Linked DNA regions of Macaca fascicularis. The main gene of each other region encodes a partner of the protein of the gene in region 2 in a complex. Links are inferred from orthologs where the notes say so. Each region holds a gene or a part of one and is shown on either strand. Other genes may lie near its edges.

Region 1 (3,850 bases), on a different chromosome or scaffold from region 2:
ATGGCCATGAAAAGAGTAGTCCTAAAACTTAGGAGATGAGGCCAAAATGTAAGAACATATTTTGTCCTTAATAAGAAGACTTAATACCCTTGAAAGATTAGCTATACCAAAATTAATATATAAACACTAATGTTTATAATATACAAACATTAGAATTCTAATGTTTTAAAAAAACCTGGCTACAAAATTTTAAATTTCACAAAAGAAAAAATGAGAGTTGACAAAAAATTATGTCAAATAAAAAAGCAACAAGGGAACAACTTTTATGTATATCTAAGGTCTAGTGTAAAGCTATATGGTTTGGATCTATGTCCCCCCCACCGAATCTCATGTCGAAATGTAATTCCCAGTGTTGGAGGTGGGCCCTGGTAGGAAGTGGATAGATGGGGCAGAGTTCTCATGAATGGATTAGCACCATCCCCTAGGTTCTGTTCTCATGATAGTGAGTTATCATGAGATCAGGTTGTTGAAAAGTGTGTAACAACTCCCTTCCCACTCCTGTTCTGGCCATGTAAGACATGCCTACTTTCCCAGGATTGTAAGTTTCCTGAGGCCTCCCAAGAAGCAGAAGCCACTATACTTCCTGTATAGCCTGTGGAAATGTGAACCAATTAAACCTCTTTTCTTTATAAATTACCCAGTCTTAACTATTTCTTTATAGGAGAATGGACTTATACAAGCTAGTAGAATAAAATAGAATGGCTTTGCTATAGAACAATAGATAGGACAGAGAATTAGAAGTAGATTCAGGTATATACAGAGAACTTAGTATATAACAAAGGTGGGAAAATGATAACTTATTATTATAATATTTAGTAAATGGTGCTGGCAAAATCTGCTATTCATCTGCAATAAAATTAAATTTAATTGAATTTATACTTACTATTGCATATTATATGGCTCTAAAAAGTATCTGTTGGAACAATATCATTTTTTTTCTAAATATTGTAAAAGAGAAATTTAGTTAAGATAGAAGAGCAAATATCGATGAAATGAGCATGACATGATCCAAAAAAAATTTAAAACAATCAAACACCAAAAGCAAACAGACAACAACAAACCCACCACAAATGCATCCATATATTTGTGTGGTCATGAAAAGAAAGGAGCAATAGGACCAGGTCAGGCCACGAACATGAGTTATCTGACAGTGGGGGTTATCAATGTTTTCTTGGTAGATCTTTGTGTTGTTTCACCGTATGAAATGAACACTTCTTACTTTTGTGGTTTGGGGGAGATAGATTCAAGAATACAGTTTTAATGTCTCTGGTGTGTCATCTGATTGGTTGCTCTCTTGACTGTCAGATCTTACCACATAGGACTGGTGAGAGCTGTGGTGCAGAGAACAAGCCTTCAAGGCGGGACAGAGGACAAGTAGCTCTGGATGCCCAGGACCATGCTAGGTGGGGGAGCCTGCGCAGGTCAAGATGCCAGGCTGCCAAGTGCAAGAGGTTGGGCTTCTTATCTTGCCTCTGTCACTTTCCCCGTAAGTGCCAGGAGAAGCCAGTTCCCCTCTGTGAGTCCTGGCCGCAGACCAGCAGGCATAGGCACATCCAGGCCGGATTGTCCTCATCATCCTCATCGACAATGCTTACCCAATGCCCTTACCCAATGCTATGCCTAGCCGCGTCGGGGTCCATGGCCAGCACTGTGCCAATCAGAGGCTTCTTCTGGTTTTCTTTCAGCTGGAAGTGGTAGAAAGGCTGCTGGAAGATGGGGGGCTCGTCCACATCTGTGATGTTTATGATGACCTGGGCTCTGTTTCCGGCGGGAGGGCTCAGGTATCGGAGGTCGATGGTGGGATCTGTGGCCTCGACAATGAAACTATATTGTTGGATGTATTCGTAATCCAGAGGCTGCATAAGAAAAAAGGATGGTGAGTGCCTGCTCTGGGCCAAGCATGTGGGTGGCACATGATCTGCACAGCAACTGTGCAAGGTAGTACCAGGACGACACCCATTTTATAGATGAGGGGCCCATGGCCTTGACAAGTGATATTTCTGAGGTCATCAAGAGAGCAGCTGGGCCTAATGTCTGTCTTCAGCTGCTCCCCATTTCGTCTCAGCAGCCTCATGGCCACACCCACAACCCTGGCTCTTTGCCTGGCTCTGTTTCCAGCGTTTGGGACATGCAATGGATCAACTATGGTCCTACTCTTACGGGCATCACTAGTGGTTCTACCCACAGGTCCTTAAGGACAGGCTTTTTCTTTGTTTTTGAGACAGAGTCTCACTCTTGGTGCCAGATCGGAGCGCAATGGTGCGATCTTGGCTCACTGCAACTTCTGCCTCCCAGGTTCAAGCGATTCTCTTACCTCAGCCTTCTAAGTAGCTGGGATTACAGGCACCTGCCACCACGCCCAGCTAATTTTGGTATTTTAAATAGAGACAGGATTTCACCATATTGGCCAGGCTGGTCTCAAACTCCTGACCTCAGGTGATCCACCTGCCTTGGCCTCCCAAAGTGCTGGGATTACAGGCGTGAGCCACCAGGCCCGGTCAGACATGCTTTTTCTTTATACCTTTGCTCAAGATGCTTCTCCTGCCCTTGCCTGCCTAGAAAACTCCTACTCATCCCTCAGGAAGCCAAACAGAAGGTAATCAGATGCTCTCTCAGAAACCCCTCCCAGCAGAGGTAATTGCTCCCTGTTCAGAGCTGCTGTGTATCACTTACACCTGGCTATACTTTTTTTGTTCATGCATATGTCTTCCCCATTTGCTGACACTGGAGGCTGTGTCTGCCTCTCCTTGATGTTTCCAGGCCCCAGCATGGGGCTGGGTCAGAGAAGGACTCAGGCCCAGGACTTGCAGTCCTCTGCATGGCCATTCCAGAGGCATTTTTTAATGCCCCCCACAGGTCCTCTCCCTCCTCTTCCAGATTCAGTTGATCTGGCTTCTCTGACTGTCAGCAGCATCCATTGTCAGTGGCCATCCATTTCATCACAATTACTCACTGTTTTCTTCATGCTGATGGATTTCTACTGGCCAGGACACAGGGCAGGCCAGAAAGTGCCAGAGAGGTAAAACCTCCAGGAGCAGTCCTGTCAACGCTACAGGAAGTGGGTGTATAAATACCCCAGCTCCCTCACCCTCAGCTGCTGCAACTCTGAGATATTTTCCACACTGACCCCCCAAAAGGGTCATTGCTCCTGGGGCTTCCTGGGGTCACCTCCCAGATAAATGATTTATACCCAATCTTTGCCTTAAGATCTGCTTCCCGAGTAACTTGCCCTAAGACACTGGATCACAGTCTCCACGAACACATGACCAGCTGGGAGCTTTGATGGTCCTTTGATGGTCTCTGGCCCAAGAGCAACCCCCAGGCAGGACCTGTGGGTGCCAAGAGCCCCAAGCCCCATGTTTGATGTTGTTACCATTGGCCTACAAACCTTCATGGGCTTGATGATGCCCTCGTTGTGGGTGGGGTTTGTCTCAATGGTGAAAGCATCCTGGTAGTCGCCCCGCAAGATGCTATACTTGGTCATCCGGTTCTGGGGCTCATCTGGGTCTTCAACAAACAGAGAGCCCACAGAGGTGCCCACACGGGTGTCCTCAGGCACGACAAATGTGTACTTGGCTGATGCAAACAGAGTACCCGAAAGGGCATTGGGTTAATGAGATAGACAAGGCGATTGTCTCTTTCAGATCTATTCTAACATATTTTGAGACAAGAAATGGGCATAATAAAATAATAATAAATAATAATATCCCTGGGATTCTCAAGGTAAAGAGGGTCTTCCCTATCTGTGTGTCCATCCATCTATCCCTCCATCCAATAAATAGCTATTAAGCACCTATTATATGCCAAGCACTTTGCTAGGGGACCTATCAATGGACAAGAGAGACAAGTC
Region 2 (4,363 bases):
GTGATCACAACCACAAAAACATCTTTCATGAAAGGAAAAAAGAAATGTCACACATGACTAAGCGCAAGCCTTCAAATATCTACTCACTGAGGACATGTCTAGTATTAAATCATGACATTTCACTATCCAGAAAAATTGATTTGTGTAACCTGAAGAGAAAACAGCCCAGATGCAATGCCAGAAAATTAGCCCCACCACACCAGAAAATGTTTACTGCAGAGAAAGCCTTGGTGATTTGAGAGTTGGGATCTTTCTCTTTTCCTTTTTATTTTTTATTTTTGGCTTGGTTGGTTATTATACAAAGCCATAAACATGATCTGCCCACATTTTTCCCCACCAGATGGGAGTTCATCACACCACATGTCACCTAGCAACCTAAACACCACTCCACAACTATCCAGCCACCCAATTCTTCATACAGAATTTCTCTTGTTCTATTAGGCAATACCGGTAAGGAACAGAGAATAAAAGTTAAAACAGTGTTAAATACATAATATCACTTCCTCATCACTTAATATAGAATGGGAAAAGTAGTAAGAAAGACTGAAAATTAATCTCAATCATTGTCTAGCAATTTCAGAATAAAAACGAGAAAAAGGAGACCTAGAAGACACTCAAGCTCTGGCAACATGAGGGTCAACAGTCTTGGGATCCAATGATTGAACTTGGTATACTGCAAAGCCCCCGTTAAAATTCACCCACTGAACTCTAAGTTGTACTTAAAGAGCATGTCAGTGTTGGAACCCCTGACCCATCTCTGACCCGCCCTCTCATCTCCAACTCCCATGTCACTATCACCCTCCCTTCCTTCAGCTCACAGGCCCCCTTTTCTCTTTGTGACACCTCCCCAGACACCCGTAAGAAAACTGCACTCCCTTTTCTATGCCCTGTGAAACAACCACTGCTAATTGTTAATAACAAGGACCAGGTCTGTGACCAAGGCCCTGCGCTTTAGCCACCCAGCATCCCAGAGGCCCCTCTTCTCCCCATGTCACCACCAGCCCCTTCACCTGGAGGACTGCGCAGCCTCTTGCTCAGCCTCTCACAGCCAGTGGGTCCCCTAGATGTCCAGCACCCAGAACAGTGCTGTGAACACAGTCAAAGCTTCAAAATTTCTGTGGAACGAATGCCTCAAACAACATTTGAACTACTGTCAAATAGGCAGTTCAGCCTATGTCTATTTTGTGCACGATGAAACATGGGACACAGTAGGTAAAACAATTTTAATCACATAAAATTAATAAAGTGAAAGAAAATGTCGATCACCCTCTCCCTATTCAGGAGCCTAGACATACTGCAGAGTGCATATTACTTTATTTCTCTTTCCTTGCACAAAGTATTTTGTTGGTTTCCAGAGTGCCTGAACAATTTGAGTACTCTTTCGGAACACTTAAAGCATAAACTGTCACACATAAACAACACTTAAAAAAGCTAAATGCCCATTGAGATGGTTTTCTTTCCCTTTGTCAGCTTTGCAAGATAAACAGGTGTCCAATTCCCACTAATTTTATTTGATTTTCAATAAAAGAGTTCAACCAACTGTAAGGAACATAACAGAGCTATTAAAGCCAATGTCTTCCATCCTTGTGCCGGGTTCCTAAACGTCCCCCAAAATTATCTTTAAAAGCCCAAATTTATGCTACTTTTTCCAGTGTATACTAAAAGCAAAACAGCAGTCTAAAAAGCTTTTTATTTTTAATTTCTGAGAGAACTGAAGATGCCACCGGAGTACCCTGTGTACGCTAAATAGGGCTGACCAAGCCACTTTCCAACGTCATCTGCAGCCCCCAAGCCCATAGGGGCCAGGCCACTGTCGGGAACAAATGGGAAATACTGCACCGAAGTGAATGCACTCCCCACCAAAGAGGACTCTACTACAAAGGAAATATCCCCGGGTGCTTGGGAGAAACTTCAGCGTGGGCTGTTGTCAAACACAGACACAGTCGGTAAAACAATTTAGCAAAATGCCTTTTCACTTCTGACACATAGTAGAGGAATGCTGTGAAGTGGAGACAATGTTATCACTACAGCAAGAAAAAGGGAAATCCACTCAACTCTGAAGTCAGGCCCGGCTCCGCAGCCCAGCCACATGGAAGCAGCCCAGGATAGGTAGGAGCTGAGGTCCTCGCAGGAAAACTTTTCTTTCCGCGACCGTTTCAAGGTTGTGCTTTCCAGAGCCCAGTAAGGGGGATCAGCTCAGTAAATGCTCGCAAGCGAGTGCTGAGTGCCACCGGTGGCCCTCCCGGGAACGCCTCCCCGATCCCAAGCCGGCTACTCCCCAAACCCTGCAGCCCCCGGACGCGCGCCCCTGCCCGCCCCTGCTCGCGGGGGACAAGGAGGAAAAGACCCCCCGCCGCGGTCCCGCCCCCGCCCGAGGAAGGGAGAGGAGACAGAAGGCTCGCAGCCCGCCTCCGTCGGGAGGGCAGTCACGAAACTCTCCTCACACCAAAAGTTCCCAGTCCCCGGCCTGTGCCCGCGGGGCCTGGGAGCCGGGAGAGGCCTGGGGCTGGATTTCCCGGCCCGCGCCCCTGCGCGCCGGCTCGGGGCTTGGCTAGCTCTACAGACTACGGGGAAGCGCCCAGGGCCGGCCTGTGCGCCGCTGCCCGGCTCGCCCCGCGCTCCTGAGGCCGGAGCTCCCGGGGAAAGGGGGATGGGGAAGGGGAGGGCGGGGGCCGCGGGACCCGGCTGGGTGCCCCCGAGGCTGCGACCCGGCCAGCGCTGACAACTTTGGCGCCCGCAGCCCGGGGCGGGGGGCGCCCGCGAGGCCGGCCCGGCCGCACTTTCCCTTTCCCCGCCTCCCTGCGCCTCTCCTCCCCCTTCCAGGAAGCGCCATATTGATCCCGGCGCCGTCCCCGCCGCCGCCCCCTCCCCGCCCGCGCCCCCGGCCCCTCACCTTGGCGATGGCCTTCCGGTAGCGGGTCACCGCCTGCTGGATGAGGCTGAAAACTTTCATGTGGCCGTCCCCGCACGGCACGACCACCCGGGTCCGTCCGAAGCACACGGTCACTTTCATGCCGCCGCCGCCGCGGGCGGGCCCGCGCCCCTCGCCGAGCGCAGCCGGAGCAGCCGGGGCCGGGGCCGGGACCAGGGACGCTGGGCGCGGAGGAGCCGCGGGGGACTTGGACGCGCGGGCGGCTAGGGGCGAGGGCAGGCGGCGGCGACGCCGGGGGGCCGCTCAGCTCGCATGCCCGGTCCGGCCCGGCCACCCTCGCCTCGCCCGGGGCTCGCCTCGCCTCTCCCCGCCGCGGCGCCCGCAGCCTCCGGCCACCTGTTCGGCGTCTCGGCGCGCTCGCCGGCGGCGGCCCGGGGCTGTGTGGCGCTGGCGCTCGCTCGGGGCCGCTGGGGGAGGGGACGGCGCGAGGGGAGGGGAGGGGGAGGAGCAGGGCCGGGCACACAACACCGCGCACATGCGGCAGGGGGAGGCGCGGCCGGCTACCCGCGCGGGGCGGAGCGCACGACCGCAGCCCGCGCCCCCGCCACCGCCCTCCGGGGCCGGCCTCCTTCCGTCCCTCCCTCCCTCCCTCCGGAGGCTTGGGACCCCTGGTCCCACCGCCAACCCGGGCAGGCGGCCATCTGCCCCCACCAACCGTGGCCCGGGCGCCCCCCAGCCCCCTTCACCCCGCCCGCCCAGCTCCCTGCAGGGCTGCGCTCGCCCCTCCTCGGGGACGCCCCTTCCACGCCTCCAGAGGTCTCCACGGAGCCCCCCCCCCTTCCCTTTCCTTTGTCACTTTTAATCCCCTTCCTTGGACTGGAGGGTTTCGGGTGCAGGCGCTCCCGGGGAAGGCAGTTTTTGCTCAGCGCGGCGAGTCCCCTCCTCATCGCCCCGGAGGCTCCAGCCCGAGCCTCTCTGCCCTCGGGGACTCGAGCCTGCGGCTTGCTCCGCTGGGTTTCTGCCCTGCCCGCTCCCTAGCTCGGCTGCAGGGTCGGGCAGCGGCAGTTCTGCCTGAAACGCAAGAATTAATAGTCTGCTCTGGGGAGGCAGTGGGGAAGCTGTGAGCGACCGGGCGTTTTTCAGAGGTCACTGTTTACCTTGAAGTTTCCTGTTGACCCTCCGCTGACCCACCCACTTAAATAGATTAGACCGTAAACATCGCAATTCTGATACATTTATTTCTTTCAAGTTCTGCAGCATAAGCAATCCTAACGCGAATCCGTGAACAGCCTATTCTGACGCCGCGGAGAAAGCTCACGCGGGAATCCCCACGGTGTGCCCGCGCTTAACGCAGACGCCTGAACCCCGAGGAAGGCTCCGACTCCGCAATGAGTGACATGCGGGCTTGAGAAGTTCTGAAGGAACGTGATCCGAGTTAGGGAACGTAACTGAAGCTCATTTTGTCTTAGTTATGGACTATGATTCCTTAAT
Region 3 (4,397 bases), about 61 Mb from region 2:
AATTTTTTGTTCCTATATATTTGGATGACTGCTAATAGTAGTCCAAATGCTAATAGTAGACTGCTTTGGAAGTCACAAAAGAATTTTTTCCATAATTATCTTCTGGGCAAGCGGGTTTAGCCTTAGTAACATTTTTATCTTCCAGTTTAGCCTTAGTAACATTTTCAATTAATGCCAACTTCAAAATTTGCAAATACTGTTTTAAAATAATATTACTGACTTAACAGAAAACTAAATTTTGGGAGGCTACTTCTTCAGTAAGTTTTATATTCATTTCAAAACAAAAACTTGGGCAAAATTAACTGTGCACATGTATATGCAGCTAACATAATCCAAGGGAATAAAACCTCTCCCGATATAAACGTTGTCTTAAAAAAAAATCTTCCCCACAATTTTTAGCAGGACATATAGACACTGCAGTGTCACGCTACCTTTAGACAAAATGCAACTGATACTTGCTAAGAAATAATTTTTATTAAAAATACTTTGCTAGTACTTATGCAATTACATAATTTTAACTAAATATTGTCCACTGCCACAATTCGCATTACCAAACTCATATTACCAAATTTTAGGCCTTGATAGAGCCTAAATGCTTCAGTCACTTCAGACCAATAACTTCTGTTTTCACATACCTTATACACTGGCCTACCAATAGCTCTCAATTCCTGTCAATACTTTCCATTCTGCAAAATGAGGGCCCCATCCCCATCCCTAATCAAAACCAGTCTGTTGTACCTGAAACTGCAAAGATTCATGCTTTTCGATGACCACTAACTTTTGAAGCCCGAAGGCCTAACTTTTAGACAACTAAAGCTATACACTGTTAAAATTCTTGGGCTTCTGTCTTATTCAACAAGCTGACTCAGTAAATTTAATACACTGTATGAAAAAAGCTAACATACCTACAATCTAAAGCTGGAGTAAACTTCTCTTGCCAGCATTTCTGGATATTAGCTGGTAAAATTCACTTGACATTCTACACAAATCAGTGAAATTAACAGTACCAAAAGATGTCAGAGAACCTGAAATCTAAAAACGGTGAGCAGCAATTCTGGCATCACAATACTTAAATTTCAAGCATGAACTGAAGTTTTATCTTTGCAATCTTCACTTGCCACACACAATACCCTTGAACCTACACATTGTCATCTGGGATCAAAAACTACTCAATATCCATTCCATGTTTATGACAAGAGCACTGAACATTAAACGCTACTGAAGTGCAAATTTCAAGCCCTATCCTACATCATCCCATAGGGAGAGAAAAAGGTAAATATAACAAAGATCTAGTAAGAACGCCTTATAAGGTATATTATGGCATTATTGATTTCAAACTACAAAACTTCTAAATACAGTCCAAAGTTGTAACTTAAGTGTAAAACATTAACAAAACTACTTTTTGCACTCAATGTGCACCATATATACTGAAAATTATTCTGCTTCTAAAGTTATGCAAATCAGTCATATTTTAAAAGAATCTATCAATGCAACCCAGGAAACTAAAACAATCACTGCAAGATTCTGATGCAATATGCATACGTGCAACACTAATTTTCATTTTATTCTGATCTAAACCCTTGATCTAGGGCCTAAGCCAAGATTTAATCGAAATATGCTCAACCTCAAAGCGTCTACTTTTTTGTTCATTTAGGAGACCGGATTACCGAGCTCTCTAATCCACTAACAGCATACTGTATTCTGTATTAACGGACAATAGCCCTCAGGAAGAGACCGTATAGACAGCCTAAGCAAGCAATCGGTGCCTCGACACTTGCAACCAGGCAAGAGTTCTGTCTAGCCGAACACACCCTAGGTTGAATACAAGAAAAGAAACACAAAATATATGACCTAGCAACCCGACCAGGGTTAAATGTTATAGTCGCCCAAACTAGGGACATTTTCGCATCCGTCTACTCCCACGTTCTAAGAGAGTGACAGAAAGGCAAAGAGGAGCAGCCGCAGAAATGGATACAGGTCAAGTCTAAGTCGAATCCATCCTCTTGATATCTCCTTTTGTTTCTGCTAACGATCTCTTTGATGATGGCTGTCATGTCTGGGAGCCTGTGGCTGAAGAAAAAGGAGGAGAGAGATGGCAGAAGCTGCTGGTGGCGGGGCTTCTTCTGCAGGATGGAAATGGCTCTGGACTTGGCGGTAGCTGATGCCCCTCGCTCTGCCGCCGCTTGGCTCTGGACCGCAGCCGGGTAATGGCTGCTGCGGCGGCTGCTGGATGGTTGCAGCGACTGGGCCTGCTTCTCCTCAGCAGCCAGAGGCCTGGCAGCAGCGGCAGCGGAATGGGGAGAAGACGAATAATCCTCGGAACGGCTGCCTCCTCCGGCGGCCTCCGGAGCCCGGGCCACGGGGGGTGCGGCGGCGGCGGAGGGGAGGTTTAAAACCGGCCCGGGTCCCTGGATGTGCCGCCGCCGCCGCCGCCGTGTTGGAGGCAGTAGAAGGGGAGAGACCAACTCTCCGGCGTTCCCAGCCCTGGAAATGGTGACAGGCGACTCAGACCCCCTCCCTGGAGCTGCAGCCGCCGCGGCCGCCGCGGCCGCCGCTTCTCCCCCCCGCTCCAGGAGCGGGAGGTGCCGCCGCCGCCGCCGCGCCTCAGCCGGCTCCCGCCCGAGCCCACGGCTTCCACCTTCCCCTTCAAGAGAAGCCGAGGAAGCGGCTGCACGGTTAGAAAAGACGAAGAGGAGGCGAGAAACGCCGCCGCTGCCGCCGCCGCAGGCCGGCCGGCTCCCCGAGGGCGCTGCCCCCGCGGCTGCTCACAGGCGCTGAGAGGGGCTCCGGGCCGCGGCCGCCGCCGTCTCTCATCTCCCTCGCCTGAGCCCGGCCTCGCCTCACAGCGGCTCAACTCTCAAACTTCCATCATGGCTGCAGCTTCCGAGAGGAGAGAACTGAGCGCAGCCGCGTCCCGGCGCCCGAGCGCGTATCCTGCCGCAGTGCATAAAGAGTCCCGCCACATCACCGCCCGCCGGCCTGCCCGCCCCCTCCGCCGCCGCGCCGGGAGCCCGGGCTCCTCGGGAGACCGAGGGGAGGCGGGAGCTGAACGAGAGGCGGACTGGACCGTGCCGGGCGAGGGGAGGGCAGGGCAGGGGGCGGTAGGCGGGGACAGAAGCGGTAGCTCCGGGTGCGAGCGCAAAGCCCCCAAGCCGTAGGCTCTACTGAGCATGCCCAGTGTGGCTGCCTAGAGCTCGCTCGGGCCGGTTCCGAGCCGCCAGCCTGCAACTGCACTTGCCGCGGCTGCTTTTGCAGCAGCGCGAGGCGAGGATAACGAGCTAAGCCTCGGCCTCTGCCCAGAAACCCAGCCGGAGGCAGGGTAGGCTGTTGCGGGGCGGGGGTGGAGGACTGATGATGAAAGCTGAGATGGGTGCGTTGAGCAGTGTCACTGACTCGAGTCTCAGGTTACCTGTGCACAGGTGGAAAGGACCAGGTGACCACGCTGGTCAGTATACAGGGAAATGCAGGGACGGTCCTTGCAAGGGTAATACCCTCCCCCCTGCCTCTGCCCCTGGATTTCCGCGGCGTGGACTGCATTCGCTCTTTTGCATCGCTGTCGATCACAGTCGTTCGCAGAGATTTGACTGTAGCAGCCTTTGCCTAGAGATTCCTCCTTTCCCCAACCCTGTGTCCTCAGGATGTCAGTCTTAGCACAAAGAGCAACCTGCTATTGTGTTTCCAGCGTGCATCACCTCATCCGGCTCCCTTGTAGCGCCCCACCTCTCGCTTCCCCGGTAACTCGGCTTGTTTGCCCTAAAAATGAAAGCTCTCAGCCGAGCGTGCTGAACGTGAACACATCGCCGTTGAATTTCCAGAGCCCAAAGGGCACCTATCTAAATGAACTGAAAGAGGATCCCCGTGAGTAGGACGCACCCCGCAGCCCTCTCCTGCGCCCGCTCCGGTGCCCCTAGGAGACTAGAGCATCTCTCCCCCTCGGGCTCCAAGTCAGTTCGCCGCGTCGGACTCAAGCTCGGTTCTTAGAGACCACCTAGCCCCGCCCCCCCTTGGCCTCCGTGAAAACCCGGCGGGATGGATCGCCCGGGGCCAGGCTCCACGCGCCCCGGCCAGACCATGCACGTTCGGGGTTACCAGGTTGAGTGGAAAGTACGGAACGGTAGGAAGCTGCAGCCCAGCGAGTGGGCGGGGCAAGGAGACCTAGGAGGGTTCAAAAGGGGGTGGAAGGATACACGGGCCACAGTCGGAACTACTTTCCGAAGGAGGTCACGTGTGTTCCTAGTTGGGGAACTTTCCAAATTCCCACTCCCCAGTGATAGCTCCGGAGGCAAGTACTCTTCTTTTGCTCGGGGTGTTCTCGCCTGGTGCAGGCTGCAGAACCCCAGCCCTTCCCGCGCCGCGGCGGAAACAGGGACTCGGACCAGCCTCCCGAAGGAGCGCTG
Region 4 (3,850 bases), on a different chromosome or scaffold from region 2:
CGCCACCACACCTGGCTAATTTTTGTATTTTTAGTATAGTTGGGTTTTCACCATATATTGGTCAGGCTGGTCTTGAACTCCTGACCTCAGGTAATCCACCCGTCTTGGCCTCCCAAAGTGCTGGGATTATAGGTGTGAGCCACCATGCCTGGCCCTAACTGTACATTTTAAAATGTCAAATTCTATGCCATGTGTATTTTACTATAATTAAAACAAAAAGGTGTATGAAGTCAGAATCAAGATTTCAACAAATAGGCCAAGAGCAGTGACTCATGCCTGTAATCCCAGCACTCCAGCAGGCTGAGTGGGGCAGAGTGCATGAGTGCAGGAATTCGAAACCAGCCTGGGCAACATAGTTGAACCCCGTCTCTACAAAAAACACAAAAAATAGCCGGGCATGGTGGTGCACGCCTGTAGCCCTGGCTCCTCTGGAGGCTGAAGTGGGAAGATCACCTCAGCCCAGCAAGAGGTGGAGGCTGCAGGAGGAGGTGGAGGCTGCAGGAGGTGAGCTGTGATCATGCTCTGCACTCCAGCCTGGGTGACAGAGTGAGACACTGCCTCTACAGAAAATACAAAATTATACAGCTGGGGGTGGTGGCTCATGCCTGTAGTCCCAACACTCTGGAGGCTGAAGTGGGAGGATCACCTGAGCTGGGGAGTTTGAGGCTACATGGGCTGTGATCAAGTCACTCCAGCCTGGGTGACAGAGTAAGACCCTGTTTAAGAACCTATTTCCAAAAAAAAAAAGATTTCAACAAATAAACCATTGATCCTATAATCAATAAACTTCTCCCCCAGAAACAGCTGGTGTGGGAAGATCTGCTACACAGAGCCGCGGCAGTTCAGCACGTCCCTCAAAGCTGGGGCCTTGTGCAGGACGGAGTGAGGCAGTGCCTCTGGGCAGCTTCCTGTCCTACCCCATCACCCGCCCGGTTCAGCTCAACCCCAGGGATTTCCTAACAAGGGTGACGACGTCCTCAAGCTCAACCGCAGTCTGCTGGAAGGCGACGTATCAGTGGTTGGCCACACACGCGAAGGTCGCGGAGACGATACCCATCTTCACCTTTTCAAAGCTTAGACACGAGTGCTCTCTGCGGTGGTCCGCTCACTGCCTGCGGTGTGCAGTGCACGGACAGCCGTGCGGGCCGGCAGCCTGAGAGCAGGAGCTGCACTGTGCATCCTGGCCGCGGAGTTGGCTGCGCCGTTTGGGTTTGTGGAGCACGCGTTGTGACATTCACACAACGGTGCCATCACCTGACCAGGCACTTTCCAGAACACGTCCCGGTTGTTACGCGACGCATCACTATTGATTTTGCGCAAACTCCATCAATACGAGGCCAGGACTCTCATGCCTGGATTAATTTTGCTAAAGCCTGGAGCATTCATTATGGCCTTCTAATGCCCTCTTCCCCAGGTGGCGGCCCCAGGGCGGTGCGTTCCCGGGACCCCGAGCGCCGTGAGAAGTGGCACCTACCTCGTCGTCATGCACCAGCTCTTTCTTCACCACTTTCATGGCGTAAATTTGGTCATTCTTCTTCAACCGCACCAGGAGAACCTTGGCGTAGCTCCCGCGCCCTATGACTCTGATTAGGTCGAAGTCCTGCAGCCCGAGCCCCTGAGAGATTTTGATTCCATCCATCCCATCGATAACTGGCTTAAGGTCCTAGGAAGGGAGAACAAGACCCCAGAAAGTGAGGGGAGAGGGGTCCCGGGAGATTCAGAGGACCACGCATCACTCATGCGGTCCCAACAGAGATCTGCTCCTCAGAGCCTAGAGCCTCACGATCCCAGTCTCAGCTCTGCGTCCCACAGATCCCACCCCCACACTCCCATCTAAACCGGGGCACAAAAGGTGAGAACTTCAGGCTGTGCTTCTGAGGAAGGTGCTAGAAAGTCGGAAGCTGCTCGTTTCCACAGACCATGGCTCTGGTCACAGCTGCCAGTGGGAGGGACCCCCAGGCCTTCAGCCCTACCAGTCGGGCTGAAGAGGTGGCCACTGGGACATGCGGCCCAGGGCCTGGGCCCATCCTTCCCCATCAGGGCCCTCCCTCGGGGAAGGAAGGTAAAGCAAACGTAGCTAATGCCTGCCAAGAGCTCCCAAACCGGCAAGCACACATTATTAGAAATAATTATTAGAAATATACAGAAGAAAGGCGCTCCGAGGAAAAAGAGAAGCCTCGGCCTCCTGCAAGCTACACCAGGCAAGGATGTCGGGGTGGAGGAGGTAGTTCGCTAGGAGGTGCTGTTCTGTGCAGCAGAATGGATTCTGCTTTTTTTGAGACAGGGTCTTCCTCTGCCACCCAGGCTGGAGTGCAGTGGCGCAATCTCGGCTCACTGCAGCCTCCACCTCCCAAGCTCAGGCGATCCTCCCACCTCAGCCTCCCAAGCAGCTGGGACCACAGGCCCATGCCACCATGCCCAGCTAATTATTTTGTATTTATTTTTGCAGGAATAGGGTTTCACTACGCTGCCCAGGCTGTTCTCAAGCTTCTGGACTCAAGTGATCTGCCCGGCCCAGCCTCCCAAAATGCTGGGATTGGAGGTGTGAGCCACCGTGCCCGGCTTTGGATTCTGCTTTCTAAGTGACCCAGCCTCCCTCCAGACACAGGACGGCCAGGAAGGAGCACGAGTTGTGAGGGTGGTATGTGCCGCTGCTCTGGAAAGGTGTGGGCTTTGCCAGCGCAGCCCTTTCTTGGGTTTTACGAGCAGAGGCTGAGAACACAGCAAGCTCTTCTGTTCCCTTCTCAGGGTTTGTGGTGCAGAGCTGGCCACAGACGCGAGGCTCAGTTGAGCCTCTTCGCTTGAGTTGGGGAAGGACGTGAAAAGGCATTAGAGGGGTTTGCCAGGACGGCCAAACGAGGCAACGAAAGGAAGGCCGTGGTGCAGACACAACTTGATAAAAATTACAGCTCAAAAGCCAGCCCCTGGGCCACTGTACTGCCTGGGTGGAGAGGATGTGGGGCGCGGCTTCCCCCCAGGGTGTGGTCCCCAGACCACCCGCTGGGACAGCTGCCTCCAGGGAATCACCAAGGATGTGCCTGAAATAAGACCCAAGAACAAGGGCTTCTTTCTAGACACCCACACCCGTAAAGATTAGCAACATCCCGGACCGTATATTTCACATCCAGATTTATGTGACTGCCCCAGAGGCAGGCTCACAGACTTCCAAGAGGACGCTGGAAAGGTAGCGAGCTGCTCCGCAGACTCACCTCAGAGTCGTCTTTAATGCTGTCATGTTTCCGGGATGAGGAAATGTAAGCAACTGGCGAGAGAGGGAGGAAGAGGCGTTACGGTGTCGTCAGGAACGCGCTGGGAACACAGCGACCCCGTGGGCCCTGCTCCTCCACCAGGCGACGGTGAAGGGCAACTCTACACAGCAGCCATGTCTGATTCTATTTTAGAGTCTTTTGAAAATGCAGCTTCCTGGGCCCCACTCAGACCTGCCGACTCTGACCATGGGACCTGGGGATGTACATTTGTGACACACGCCCCCAGGGGTCCATCTGCAAATAATTAGTCATCAGATTTTGGTGTCTAGTGAATGGGTGGGTGGGGCAGGAGGGGATGTCTAGTGAAGGGATGGAGGATGACTAGATGGGGGATGAATGGAGGCCTGGATGGAAGACGGACAGATGGAGAGGTCAGTGGACAACAGATGGATGGATAAATGGAGAGGTCAGTGGACAAGAGATGGATAGATGGAGAGGTCAGTGGACAAGAGATGGATAGATGGAGAGGTCAGTGGACAATAGATGGATGAATAGATGGAGAGGTCAGTGGAAAATAGATGGATAGATGGAGAGGTCAGTGGACAATAGATGGAGAGGTCAGCGGAAAATGGATAGATGGA

What was found.
Region 1: the proteins of PARD3 (region 2) and CDH5 are in contact, whole or in part, in an NMR structure (PDB 2KOH), measured with the Mus musculus proteins. The link is inferred for Macaca fascicularis from reciprocal best matches to the Homo sapiens genes PARD3 and CDH5. Residues at the interface, in NP_296369.2 of Mus musculus: Ala599, Gly600, Leu601, Gly602, Val603, Ser604, Val605, Lys606, Gly607, Arg609, Lys611, Lys622, Ile625, Asn655, Gln656, Met659, Arg663, Met666; in NP_033998.2 of Mus musculus: Tyr774, Gly775, Asp777, Gln779, Glu780, Glu781, Leu782, Ile783, Ile784.
Region 3: the proteins of PARD3 (region 2) and PTEN are in contact, whole or in part, in an NMR structure (PDB 2K20), measured with the Rattus norvegicus proteins. The link is inferred for Macaca fascicularis from reciprocal best matches to the Homo sapiens genes PARD3 and PTEN. Residues at the interface, in NP_112514.1 of Rattus norvegicus: Ala599, Gly600, Leu601, Gly602, Val603, Ser604, Val605, Lys606, Gly607, Asn608, Arg609, Ser610, Lys611, His614, Lys622, Ile625, Met659, Leu662, Arg663, Met666; in NP_113794.1 of Rattus norvegicus: Asp393, Glu394, Asp395, Ser398, Gln399, Ile400, Thr401, Lys402, Val403.
Region 4: PARD3 (region 2) and PRKCZ share a complex: the UniProt entries of both Homo sapiens proteins name them as parts of the par polarity complex. The link is inferred for Macaca fascicularis from reciprocal best matches to the Homo sapiens genes PARD3 and PRKCZ.

Annotation. Positions count from the first base shown.
Region 1 is NC_088394.1:62,396,517-62,400,366, reverse strand, and holds part of CDH5 (cadherin-5), read right to left. Parts: intron 3,577-3,850; coding exon 3,389-3,576; intron 1,857-3,388; coding exon 1,609-1,856; intron 1-1,608. UniProt on the Homo sapiens protein: Cadherins are calcium-dependent cell adhesion proteins. They preferentially interact with themselves in a homophilic manner in connecting cells; cadherins may thus contribute to the sorting of heterogeneous cell types.
Region 2 is NC_088383.1:35,575,117-35,579,479, forward strand, and holds the start of PARD3 (partitioning defective 3 homolog), read right to left. Parts: upstream 3,111-4,363; 5' UTR 3,014-3,110; coding exon 2,894-3,013; intron 2,110-2,893; exon of another isoform or gene 1,974-2,109; intron 1-1,973. UniProt on the Homo sapiens protein: Adapter protein involved in asymmetrical cell division and cell polarization processes. Seems to play a central role in the formation of epithelial tight junctions. Targets the phosphatase PTEN to cell junctions.
Region 3 is NC_088383.1:96,734,344-96,738,740, reverse strand, and holds the start of PTEN (phosphatidylinositol 3,4,5-trisphosphate 3-phosphatase and dual-specificity protein phosphatase PTEN), read right to left. Parts: upstream 2,900-4,397; 5' UTR 2,055-2,899; coding exon 1,976-2,054; intron 1-1,975. Other genes in the region: KLLN (killin), read left to right, coding at 4,030-4,397. UniProt on the Homo sapiens protein: Dual-specificity protein phosphatase, dephosphorylating tyrosine-, serine- and threonine-phosphorylated proteins.
Region 4 is NC_088375.1:232,633,293-232,637,142, forward strand, and holds part of PRKCZ (protein kinase C zeta type), read right to left. Parts: intron 3,263-3,850; coding exon 3,210-3,262; intron 1,664-3,209; coding exon 1,475-1,663; intron 1-1,474. UniProt on the Homo sapiens protein: Calcium- and diacylglycerol-independent serine/threonine-protein kinase that functions in phosphatidylinositol 3-kinase (PI3K) pathway and mitogen-activated protein (MAP) kinase cascade, and is involved in NF-kappa-B activation, mitogenic signaling, cell proliferation, cell polarity, inflammatory response and maintenance of long-term potentiation (LTP).